3 linked regions of the Nothobranchius furzeri genome follow. The protein of the gene in region 1 purifies or fractionates together with the protein of each later gene. This does not show direct contact. Links are inferred from orthologs where the notes say so. Each region holds a gene or a part of one and is shown in the gene's direction. Other genes may lie near its edges.

What was found.
Region 2: the proteins of polr2eb (region 1) and crsp7 purify together in Homo sapiens (affinity purification with mass spectrometry; 3 studies listed by BioGRID and IntAct, with this or other methods). This does not show direct contact. The link is inferred for Nothobranchius furzeri from reciprocal best matches to the Homo sapiens genes POLR2E and MED26.
Region 3: the proteins of polr2eb (region 1) and ints6 purify together in Homo sapiens (affinity purification with mass spectrometry; 3 studies listed by BioGRID and IntAct, with this or other methods). This does not show direct contact. The link is inferred for Nothobranchius furzeri from reciprocal best matches to the Homo sapiens genes POLR2E and INTS6.

The regions. Positions count from the first base shown.
Region 1 is NC_091748.1:48,494,552-48,498,303, forward strand, and holds the start of polr2eb (DNA-directed RNA polymerases I, II, and III subunit RPABC1), read left to right. Parts: upstream 1-944; 5' UTR 945-1,347; coding exon 1,348-1,404; intron 1,405-1,765; coding exon 1,766-1,940; intron 1,941-2,124; coding exon 2,125-2,240; intron 2,241-3,752. UniProt on the Homo sapiens protein: DNA-dependent RNA polymerase catalyzes the transcription of DNA into RNA using the four ribonucleoside triphosphates as substrates.
Region 2 is NC_091751.1:71,980,721-71,984,472, forward strand, and holds the start of crsp7 (mediator of RNA polymerase II transcription subunit 26), read left to right. Parts: upstream 1-1,568; 5' UTR 1,569-1,776; coding exon 1,777-1,848; exon of another isoform or gene 1,849-1,945; intron 1,946-2,691; coding exon 2,692-2,766; intron 2,767-2,852; coding exon 2,853-3,752. UniProt on the Homo sapiens protein: Component of the Mediator complex, a coactivator involved in the regulated transcription of nearly all RNA polymerase II-dependent genes.
Region 3 is NC_091754.1:31,110,585-31,114,236, forward strand, and holds the end of ints6 (integrator complex subunit 6), read left to right. Parts: intron 1-255; coding exon 256-382; intron 383-468; coding exon 469-611; intron 612-689; coding exon 690-879; intron 880-959; coding exon 960-1,337; intron 1,338-1,457; coding exon 1,458-1,551; intron 1,552-3,059; coding exon 3,060-3,153; 3' UTR 3,154-3,367; downstream 3,368-3,652. UniProt on the Homo sapiens protein: Component of the integrator complex, a multiprotein complex that terminates RNA polymerase II (Pol II) transcription in the promoter-proximal region of genes.

The DNA.
Region 1 (3,752 bases):
TTGCCTGTGTAAATACTGTCTGCAATCGTGCCCGCAAGGGCACCACAGATGTCACAGCAGCCATATTCAGTTACACAACTTCTAAATCTCATTATAAAACAAGCCAAGTATCACGGAGGTTTACTTTACCGCTGCCGTGGATAAAACAAAATACAAAATCACGGCCAGTAGTGTCCCGCTGCTCGCCACAGCCCCCAAGCCCAAAACAACATATAACGGCCTCATTTAGTTATAGAAAAGGTCACTTCTGTCGAAAATCCATGCGTTGTTCGGTTGTTCGTTGTAGCTGCACGTGACTCCGCCCCGTTGTAGGCTACTAGGTGGGCCAAGGGTAAAATTATTATTATTATTATTATTATTATTATTATTATTATTATTATTATTATCATCATCATCATCATCATCATCATCACTGTTGTCGTTGTTGTTGTATTGAGCATTGTTGTCGGAAATCATGGAGTCTGCACCATTAAGTCTCTGGCGCATGTCACGGCGCGCTGTGCGAGAGGGGGAGTTTACTCACGAAGCAGCATGTACAGCACGTCACTCGCACTGAAACAAACACCCTCTATCTAATACAATCAATTAGAGGTCGTACAGAGTTTCACCATTTGATGGCTTTAACGTTCAAATCGAAGGAGGAGGGTGTTGGATAAATTATTTACTTTATCTGGGACATGGATTAGATCATGCCCCCATTATTTATCTGCACAGAAAGATTGCTGGGGTGTTCGGTCTTACACAATCAGACTAAATACAGCAACACCCACTTTTCACACCTTGTTCATTTAGGATACGATTCGTGGCGCACACAGTCTTGACACATTTCCGTGTACTGATCCACAATGATGCATCTAGTCTGATTGTGTAAGAACGAACAAATGGTCTGACTCCAGCATGCTTTCCATACTGATAAATAATGGGGACATGATGTAATTAAAATTATCCAACAGGGGACACAAATCTGCCCTCTAGTGGCGAAAATCTTTATTTAACTAACAGAACAGCGGCGGTGATTGCTGGTTTATGATGACGTCTTTGAAGTTAATTTGCTGGAAAAGCCTCGTTGTAAGATGGCACTGTCGTTAACAAATGCTAGAGGCGCAATAACTTTAGAAGGTCTCTGAACCAAGCGAAAAACCCCATTCCTGGTCTTTAGTCAGATAAAAAAGCACATGAACACCGGCAAAGCAGAGAAGGAGCAAACCCCTTCAGGTCAGCTTTTCTGACGTCATCAGCCTGTGTCAGTCAATCGGGAAACGTGCGTTCGCTTAAAGAGCGATATTGATAACAAAAAAAAAATCATTTTCTGACCAAATCTAGTGCACACAGCTTATTTAGCAGGACATGGATGATGAAGAGGAAACATATAGACTTTGGAAGATCCGCAAAACCATCATGCAGGTTCGTTAGGTTTGAATGTTTTCTTTATTTAGCTTGTTAGCCTCTTTTAGCTCGTTAGCTCAACATGAATGAATGTATTTTTTATCACTGAAGTTCCGTTAAATTTGACTTGTGTACTCCTTATTTTAACATTATGACAGCCTGGCTAAACACTAGCTTGTTCAACACTTGTTCCACTGGTATTTTAAGCAGTTTACCAAAGTACGAAGCAAGACTAGCGGCTCTAACCTGACTGCAACAATTGTTTCTGTAAAATTTAAATAAGTGTGTTTAAGTTCGACAAAATAACAGACGAATTATTTAATTTTAATGTTTATTAAATGAGTTTTCTGATACCTTCTCTGATGTTTTCCTCCTTCAGCTGTGCCATGATCGAGGTTACCTTGTGACCCAGGACGAGTTGGACCAGACTCTGGAGGAGTTCAAGAGTCAGTTTGGAGACAAACCGAGCGAAGGTCGTCCCAGACGAACAGATCTCACGGTGCTGGTGGCACACAATGATGATCCCACTGACCAGATGTTTGTTTTCTTTCCCGGTATGTTTATTTTAACTGGGAGATTGAACAGAAATGGAGACCAGGTGACTTTTGTGACTTTTGCTCAGTGCATCAGTCTTTTCTAGAAGTAACTGGGTGATTACATTTGGAACAGAGAAGCGTGTTTGATTTGAAGAAAATTGTTATGAATTCATCTTTTTTTTGTCCATTTTTGTCCCACCAGAGGAACCCAAGGTGGGGATCAAGACCATTAAAATGTACTGTCAGAGAATGCAGGAGGAGAATATCACTCGAGCCATCATCGTTGTTCAGATGGGCATGACGCCTTCAGCAAAACAGGTATGTTTATGTTCATGTATTTAGCAGACGCTTTTGTCCAAAAGACCTACAAGTAATAATGAAGCCAGCAGGTTGCCCTTGAGGCTTACAACAAACACTAATCAGTCAATCCTAGGTGGCAGTGAGGCAGCATAATGAATCGTAAAGGGAAGTGAATAAGGAGTGGACAGTAGAGTGGGGGACGGGTGCAGGGAGGGTGCTAGCTTAGAAGATGCTCTCTGACGAGCTGGGTCTTCAGGAGTTTCTTGAAAATGGACAAGGTCAAAGAGATCTCGCAGTACAGGCAGGAAGACCAGTTAGAAGGGCATTGCAGTAGTTGAGGTTGGAGATGACTGTAGATTGAACCAGGAGCTGGGTGGCATATTTTGTTAGATATGGTCTGATCTTTTATATGTTATACAGCATGAAGCGGCATGAACGAGTGACAGAGGCAACTTGATCTTTAACTCATTTCCTGCCATTGATGACTAAAGTCATCATTTGTATTTTTTTTTTTACTGTGTGGGTGTCGGAACGAGCTCCCGTACCGTGAGAACAAACATCCCAGCTCTAAAGCTGATCTTTATCCATGTACATCACACGTCACATGATCAGGAAGCAAAAAATCCATGTGTTAGGAGATCGTTTTGGGCTGCTGCTGTAAAAAAAAAAGTGAGGCACGATCCAGAAAAGCTTCTGCCGATCACAATTCGACAACGGATTATGAAAAAATGGATAACACTCTAAACACGCAGATTATTCCAGATGTAAGAGGTGAGTCTACTCTTTGTTTTGGTAGTTTGGGCGTTGACATCATCATAGAGTGCAACGTTCGGTGACTTTTCAAAAAACTGTGAAAACGCTGAAAACCTCTGGCAGCGAAGGGCTTTACTGATCAGGAAACGACCGGAAGGTAATGAGTTAAAGGTCAGCTGGTCATAAATCACAACACCCAAATTTCAAATTGTGTGTGAAGGAGCCAGAGATAGGGGCTCGTTTTGCATTGAGATATTGTGTCGTATGGATGGGTTTGCTGGGATGTCAAGTAATTCAGTTTTTGAGAGGTTGAGTTGGGGATGGTGAGATTTCATCCATCTTGATATATCAGAAAGACAGTCCAAGATTTGTACAGAGACTGTGAGGTCGTCCGGACGAGAATGACAGATAGAGCTGGGTGTCGTCAGCATAGCAGTGGTAGGAGAGGCCATGCGATCGAATGATCTCACCCAATGTGGTGGTGTATGTGGCAAAGAGAAGAGGTCCTAGTAAAGAGCCCTGGGGGACTCCTGTGGCAAGATGGTAAACAGCAGAAGATTGTCCGAGTCAGGTAAGATTCAAACCAGGAGTGTGCTTTCCCTGTGATGCCCATGCTAGAGAGTATGGACAAAAAGAAGCCACGGTTGACTGTGTCAAATTCAGATAAGTCAAGCAGGATAAGCACTGAGGATTTGGGCAGTCGCTCTAGCTTATTTTAAGGCTTCAGTGGAGTGGCCATTTTTGAACCCAGATTTGTATGGGTCAAGCAGATAGTTT
Region 2 (3,752 bases), on another chromosome or scaffold:
CGAGATGGGCTGAGCCCACCCACCTGTGTGACCAGGTAACAAGTACGGGGGCCTGCAGCAGCCAAAAAATCCCTCAAAACTACCATGAATCTTTCGCTACGAACAAATACGAGTGAACACTCGGATTCCAGCAATGCTTGCTCTCACAACTCCATACGGCTTCATCAACGTACGTGCAACAGATGTGCTGACGTCATCTAATTGGAATGTCATGATTTGTTTTTGTGGTCAAGGAAAAATGATCAATGGGACACGAAATACGCGTGAAACACAACAAGCATGCCTGACTTTTGTGCTTCTTATGGATGCTCTAATAGACGATGTCTTCAGTCACGGCAACGTGTCATTCATACGATTTAACAATAACAAACATTCAACTGTGTTAGGCTGATAAGTCTCTGTCATCTGCTTTGCTTTTGAACTATTATTCATTCAGATAGTGTAAAAAAAACGCTCAGTGGGGTCAGCTCTGAGGAAGATCGCAGACACAATCAAAAGTGTCAGCAGGTAAAAAACCTTCCCCGTGTTTCAAAAAGAACCTAAAAAAGCGGTCAGAAGAAAAACACAAAAGATGTTTGTAGTCTTTAGAAAAACTGCTGGCTCATCAAATCCCCCTGATTAATAAATACAAGGAATTAATGCCACACTTACTAATCATGATTACTTTAGGTAGACAAACTGTAGTTCTTGTCTGATTTCTCACCTGACACCGTGTTGTTCTATAGGCTTATGTAAAGTATGAAGACAAGCACACTGTCCAGTTACATTAGTAATTGTAATTTCAGGATTTGTTGTGCGGCGAGCCATGACCAAGCTGTCCTGTGATGTCTGCCGTGCCAGCCTGGTGATGATGCTGCATCTGCCTGTGATGACCAGAGCTACATTTGCTGTCTCTGCAGAACAACGGGGTCTTGTGGTCCCATCTGAAGGTGCTGTGAGGGTCATCAGAGCAGCAGAGTGGGCAATTCGCCAGGCATCAGTGGGCAGACGATCACAGCCCATCAAACCACTGGAGGTCATCTACATCGTGCACAAGAGGATCGGGTCAGAGGATGTGTTTTTGCTCGGGGAGCTCATCAGTGAGACACCGTACGGAACTGAGTGTCACTCCCGTACACTGTTGACATCTGTTGTCTCCCTGTTCTTTAAGCTGAGGATGCACCACCTTGCAAGATTAGCCACTCGTAGCTTTCAGTGTGACAGCATGAGCCAGAAGCTCTCAAAAGCTGTCCTTTTCACAGGTCCGTAGGAAATCACAATGTGCTTTAGCATCTGTCTTAGATCTGTTATTTTTATAATCACAAACATGTATCATCTGTAATAAACAGGTTTTTCATAACTGTCAGTCCGTCATTCAGTCCACCAAGTTGCTGCATAAATAAACTTGAATTTAATTTAATTTAAACGTTTCATATAAAATCGGTCAATCAAATATTTACTGAAAAACAACTCACAAAGTTTATATTTAAAAACGTCACTGTGGTCGGGATGTTTACTTGGTTACGTACGAACGTGATGACGTAGACACATCGTATCCCAGCATGCAGCAGGAGGCCGTTGAGGCATCCAGCAGTTGGTAGTGAGAGGAGGTCCGAGGCAGCAGCGACTCCGCTCCGCTCACATATTTCCGACTCCATGTGAGATCAACTCAGACCTACATGCGACAGAAAGCATGCTGCTCGGGCGCCCGACGTGTTCCCGAAGCGGCTTCTGAGTCACCCGGCTTTCGTTTTGGAGGATTCCTCCCTCCATCTCCTGGATCGCACCGAACAGGCAATGACAACGGTCTCAGCAACCCCGCAGCAGATGAAGGACCGGCTGCTGCAGGCCATTGACAGTCAGAGCAATGTGAGCAATGCTAAAGCTAACGCTAGCTTGTTTGCCTATCAACATCCACGCAGCTGTTCGGGTGGCACGTCGCTGTTTATACAAACTACGCTGAAAGGTGCGCTCGGCCTCGACACGTCGGATGTCTCGGTGACAAAAAGGCTCGGGGCGAGTTGACAGCTAGCATGCCAGCTAATTTAGCAGCAGCGCTGCGTTGATTGGACGGATATCTGCCGTTATGTAGCCTGTTAGCTGCTAACGTAGCTTAACACCAAAGCAGATTTGGTATAAAGGAGCAATCCAGTCGTTGTTTTACGAAATCATCTCATCTAAAGAAAAGTTTAAGTTATCCCAAACAGCACAGTTTTAGTGAAAATGTTTTATTTAAACAATCACAAAGTTTAGGGAACCAAGTGGCTGGAATAGCGTTGAGGAAATGCTCCTTCCTTCTAAAGTAAGTTAAATGCTAACTACCCTGACTAGCTAACACAGGCAGGTCCACCGACTCGGGCTAGGGCTGACGCTGTCGACAAGATGCTCGGTTTGCTCCAAGTTCATAAACCTTTGCTGAGATGATTCCAGGTATTTTTGAGTGTCTCTGTGCCACATCAGCTTTGCAACATCGTTCGGTTTCTGGAGCTAAACATCCAGCTGAGTTTCTCCCGATGAACATGTTGTTTTCCACCCCGGAGTCAGGGAGCAGTTAGTCCAGATCTCTGGAGTTCCTGTTACTGTGGGAATGTGATTGGGTGGGATTGTCCAGTGTGATTACATTTTCATCCACAGACTACAGCTGTAAATCTAAATATTACTGCCACCAGTAGAAGCTGGGGGTTACTAACTGCTGGCATGTCCTTGTTGCAGATATGCAACATGGTGGTTGTATTGGAAGTGATCGCTTGTCTTGAGAAGTATCCGATTACCAAAGAAGCACTTGAGGTAAGAATGAACGTGTCATAGGCGGTTAATGCCTACAGAGGCTGTGGTGCCAAAATAGTTTTCACTTTTTAATTATTTATTTTCAGGAAACTCGACTTGGAAAACTGATTAATGATGTAAGGAGGAAAACCAAGGATGAAGACCTTGCAAGGCGTGCAAAGAAACTCCTGAGAAACTGGCAAAAACTGATTGAACCTGGGCCGGCTGTTTCAGCAAGTGTCCCGGGGTCTACCAATGGCAGTTCCCATCCCTGCAAAACCGATCCCTCTCCCCCTGACATTTCTGTATCGGGGAAAGCGGTCACAGAAGTCACAATCCGAAGTGATGCTCACAACACATACTCGCCTAAGGCTGAGAAGTCAAGTAACCGCAAGCGGCGGGCAGAGCACAGAGACAGTGGCGTGTACGTAACAGAAAAAATCTCCAGGTTGTCGGCGTTTGATGACTCTGTTTCTCCGCCACCCACCAACGGGACTGCTGGTGGTGCCGATGCGTTGGCCGACCAGGAGGTCGTTCCTTCTCCTGACAGGCCTCGGACAGACCACCTTGAAAATGACAAAGGAAACAGAATTCCAGTTAATGCTGTCAAGCCCCGTCCCAGCTCCCCTGGCATGGCCAAAGCACCTAGCACTTCCTCGTTGATTAAAGTTGCTGTGATGCAACAGCAAGCTAAACTGGAAGAAGGGGGCGGGGGCTATTACCCAGCGAGGAGTCCCCGCAGTCTCACTTCCAGTCCCAGGAGCCTAAAGCAAGACCCCGTTTCTAAGCGTTCAGCGTACGTAGCAAAGGGAACGCCGGTCCCCAGCCCATCTTCTAGAGACTCCCCCCTGTTCTTCTCCCAGCCTCTGTCCTCCCCAGCACCGGTGTCTCACAGTGAAAAACTTTCTTCTCTTCGGTCTTCAGTGCCCTCTGCTAATTCATCAGAGGTATTCTCTCATTGCTCTCCCCAAGATCTATCTGCAACACTGGATTCCCCCTCCCCCCCG
Region 3 (3,652 bases), on another chromosome or scaffold:
TCACCGCAGAGACGAGCCGCATGAACCATAAACGCTGCAAGTTGTGAAGCGCGTTCCATCCGCGAGCCGCATCACCAAGCGGAAAGTAAATGCGTCAAGCATAAACACACCGATGTTTGTAAGGTGGTCTTTAAGTTCTCTGGGTTGGGTCCCTGAAATCTGCAGAGAGGAGGGTGGATCTCAGATGTTTGCATGTTTTTGTGAGCTTGTGTGGAAGTTTCTTCTCACATCCTCTGTTTTACCTTCTGCTCTCAGGGCTTGAAGCCGCAGAGCTTCAGGAATCCCTACGACATCCCTCGGAGCCACCTCCTCGACCAGCTTAGCCGAATGAGGAGAAACCTGCTCAACACCAGCGTCTGCACTCTAAGAGGACAGGACTCTGGTAAGAAGGCTCTCTGCACCTCACTTATTTTTGCTATTTTCTGAAAAACAAAAAGTCACTAGCGATCGTTGATGCCACGTGTCCAGACCAGCTCCACAGTGTGCCAATCGCCCAGATGGGAAACTACCAAGACTTCCTCAAAGCTGCCCCCCAGCCACTTCGAGATGCAGATCCTGAGCAGCCCAAACGTTTGCACACGTTCGGAAACCCCTTTAAACTGGACAAGAAGGTACGTCCTGCCTATTCGCCTGGAATAAAGTGGATGTTTGGATCCAGAAAGGTGATGCTGACCCGATTTTTCACACAGGGAATGATGATCGATGAGGCGGACGAGTTTGTGACCGGTCCTCAGAACAAAGGCAAGCGACCTGGAGACAACAACATCAACATGCCGGGTGGGGGTCCAAAGAGACGTCGCTGCATGTCCCCTCTGCTGCGTCTGGGCCGGGCCTACACCCCTCCGGTATCGCCCTCTGCCAGTCCCCGGCACTCATCAGGTAGGACCAGAATCTACCCTGACGACTTCCAGAAGTAGACCACAGAAATTAAACCATCTCTCCAATCCCTTGCTTTATAGAAACGGACATAAATGACGGTTCTCCTGACCTGATCATTAACCACCTAAACCAGAACCACTATGGGTCAGACAGCAGCTCTGACTTGGAGATGGACCTCCACACAGGACCAGCAGACCTTCAGGAGAACCACACTTCTGATGAGGCTCAGGTCCTTCGGCACATGGACGACGATGAGGAGGAGGAGGAGAGCGGGCAGCAGCGTGCTGGCGAGCTGCTGCCCAGCCTCGAGGGAGGGGTGGAAAGGGCTCTGATAGAGGACCCGCCCCCCCGCTTCCTCTCACCATCCGCCCTGAAGAAGCACATTCACACCGAGACGACAAAAGTCAACAACGAGCTGAGGACACTCATCACCAAGGAGATCAGGAAACCTGGCAGACGTGTGTAGACCAGAGACTTCTGTTAATCTGATGTTTGAGTCACTTCCTGGGAGATTAAATAATCCTGAAACTCTGACCTGTACAAGCTGATGTTTGTTCCTTCTGCTTGGTTTGTTTCAGACTACGAGAAGATATTTCTTCTCCTGAAGCAAATCCAGGGAACTCTGGACACGCGGCTCATCTTCCTCCAAAACATCATCAAAGAGGCGGCCAGGTACTCGGAATTCTTATTTGCTGTGATTTTATGAGCTACGAGCAAAAAGATTGGGGGGGGGGGTGTTACAGAAGGTGAGTTCAGAACATCGAGGCTTTCCTGATAAATCTCTGCTTGACATGGCGCACCTGTTTACTTTGTCGGCTCCACGAACGATGCTCGGGTGGATTCAGTCCTCTCTAATTCAAGCGAGGCGCGGCAAGCGAGGCTCACGCACTTCCGGAGGCAGCCCCCGTTAATCGATGCTAGATAAATGATAAAGGGAAAGGCTGAGCCTCGTTCTTCTCCCAGACTGAGAGATATTTATTCATGCCTACGAGGACCACAAAGTTATCAGAACTAAAATAGAGACCGCCAGTTGCCTGATTATAACCGTGTAGCTGGCGCTATTTAGTTAGCATTCAGTGTTTACGTGTTTCCATGGCAATGCCGGAAGTCCGCTTCAGCTCTGTTTCTCTGCATATTTTATTTAAAAAGCAAGTCAACCCCTACCAGAGTCTAACTCCACTCCCACTTCCTGTTTGAAAAATGCAACAAATGCTGTTGCCTAGCAGACCGAGAGGGTGGAGCCGCTAACAAATACACACACACACACACACGACATTGTGACATCATGATGTACCATCTAACATCATAGTGCACCTCTTAGCCAATAGCGACGGCAGATTTAAATTCAAATGCAGTGCAGAATTTTTACCTGACGACGGTGCATCGCTGATAGTTTTAGGCAGAATATTTAAATTTTAACTGCGATGCACTAAAGTGCAAAACCATTGACTACACGTGTGTGCAGCACGATTAGACATGCATTTATATAGTTTATTGGAAAAAAATGTTGATTTGGAGTAACTTGCTCTTTAAAGAGCAAGTTACTCCAAATCAACATTTTTTTTGCTGATAAACTATATAAATGAGTGTGATTGTGCTGCACACACGTGTAGTCAATGGTTTTGCTCTTTAGTGCATCGCAGTTAAAATTTAAATATTCTGCCTAAAACTATCAGCGATGCACCGTCGTCAGGTAAAAACAAGAATGTGGTCATAGACACTGATAAATGATGCTTTAGTTTATGTAAAATAAATAAATGATTTTCATAATTGGAGTCACAGAGCAGGACTGAAGAGCTAACCGCTAGTCGAAGCAGCGTTTAATGACTCCAGTCATGGAGGTTCGTGAATCTGCAAACCGTCACACATTTTCCATCTTTAAGGACTCCTCCTACATGTTTGTCCCTCCCTCCTACGGAGCTGGAGCGCGTCAGACGCTAAAGCCTAGATTATACTTCTCTGTCTGCGTTGTTATGGAGATACGAAACACGCGGGCTCTCTGGCAAGCTCGCAGAGGATGACGTATTTAATGTCTATGGCCATCGCCTCGTCAAAAAATAAAACGATATCTAGCTGCAAACATGGAACAGATTGAACAACGCGTCGTGGAAAAGTCAGAATATATGAAAGTTTATTCACCCGTGACTGAAGGAGGACTTTTGTTTTTCCTCTCTTCAAAGGTTCAAGAAACGCGTTCTGATTGAGCAGCTGGAGAACTTCCTTGAGGAAATCCACAACAGATCTAATAACATGAACCACGTGGACTCGCTCTGAGACCGGCTGAGCCCAAACCCGCCCCCGTCCCCCGTAAAGCCCAAACACGAAGTTCCCTTGAGGAGACAGAATCCAGCCCAGGAGCCACGGCCACTTCAGCCAGCCCGCCAACATTTAAGGTGGCCGCGTTGGTCCAGGCTGACCCATCACCAAAGGCAGATCTGACCCTGGAGGATGGTTCAGATGGCTGCGAGAATGAACAGGAAGTGGTGACTGCTGCGGGTGAAGCCTATGCAACCAGATGTTCTGTTGGACGTTTGACTGCAGCTGCTGCCTGAGCCTCTCCTCGCTAACTCACGTGGTCACAGTTTTCTTTTACTTAAACGAGTATCTCCTAAACGGAGAGAGGACGAAACTCTCGTGGAGAGGACCAGAGGGCAGCTGCAGCCTGAAAACTTTAGTTTTTGTGACCACGTGTTCGGGAGAATAAGAGTTCAGTCTGAGAGGTGTGTGCTTGTTTTCTGATAACTCGGGGTCGAAAAGGATCCGTTGATCATTT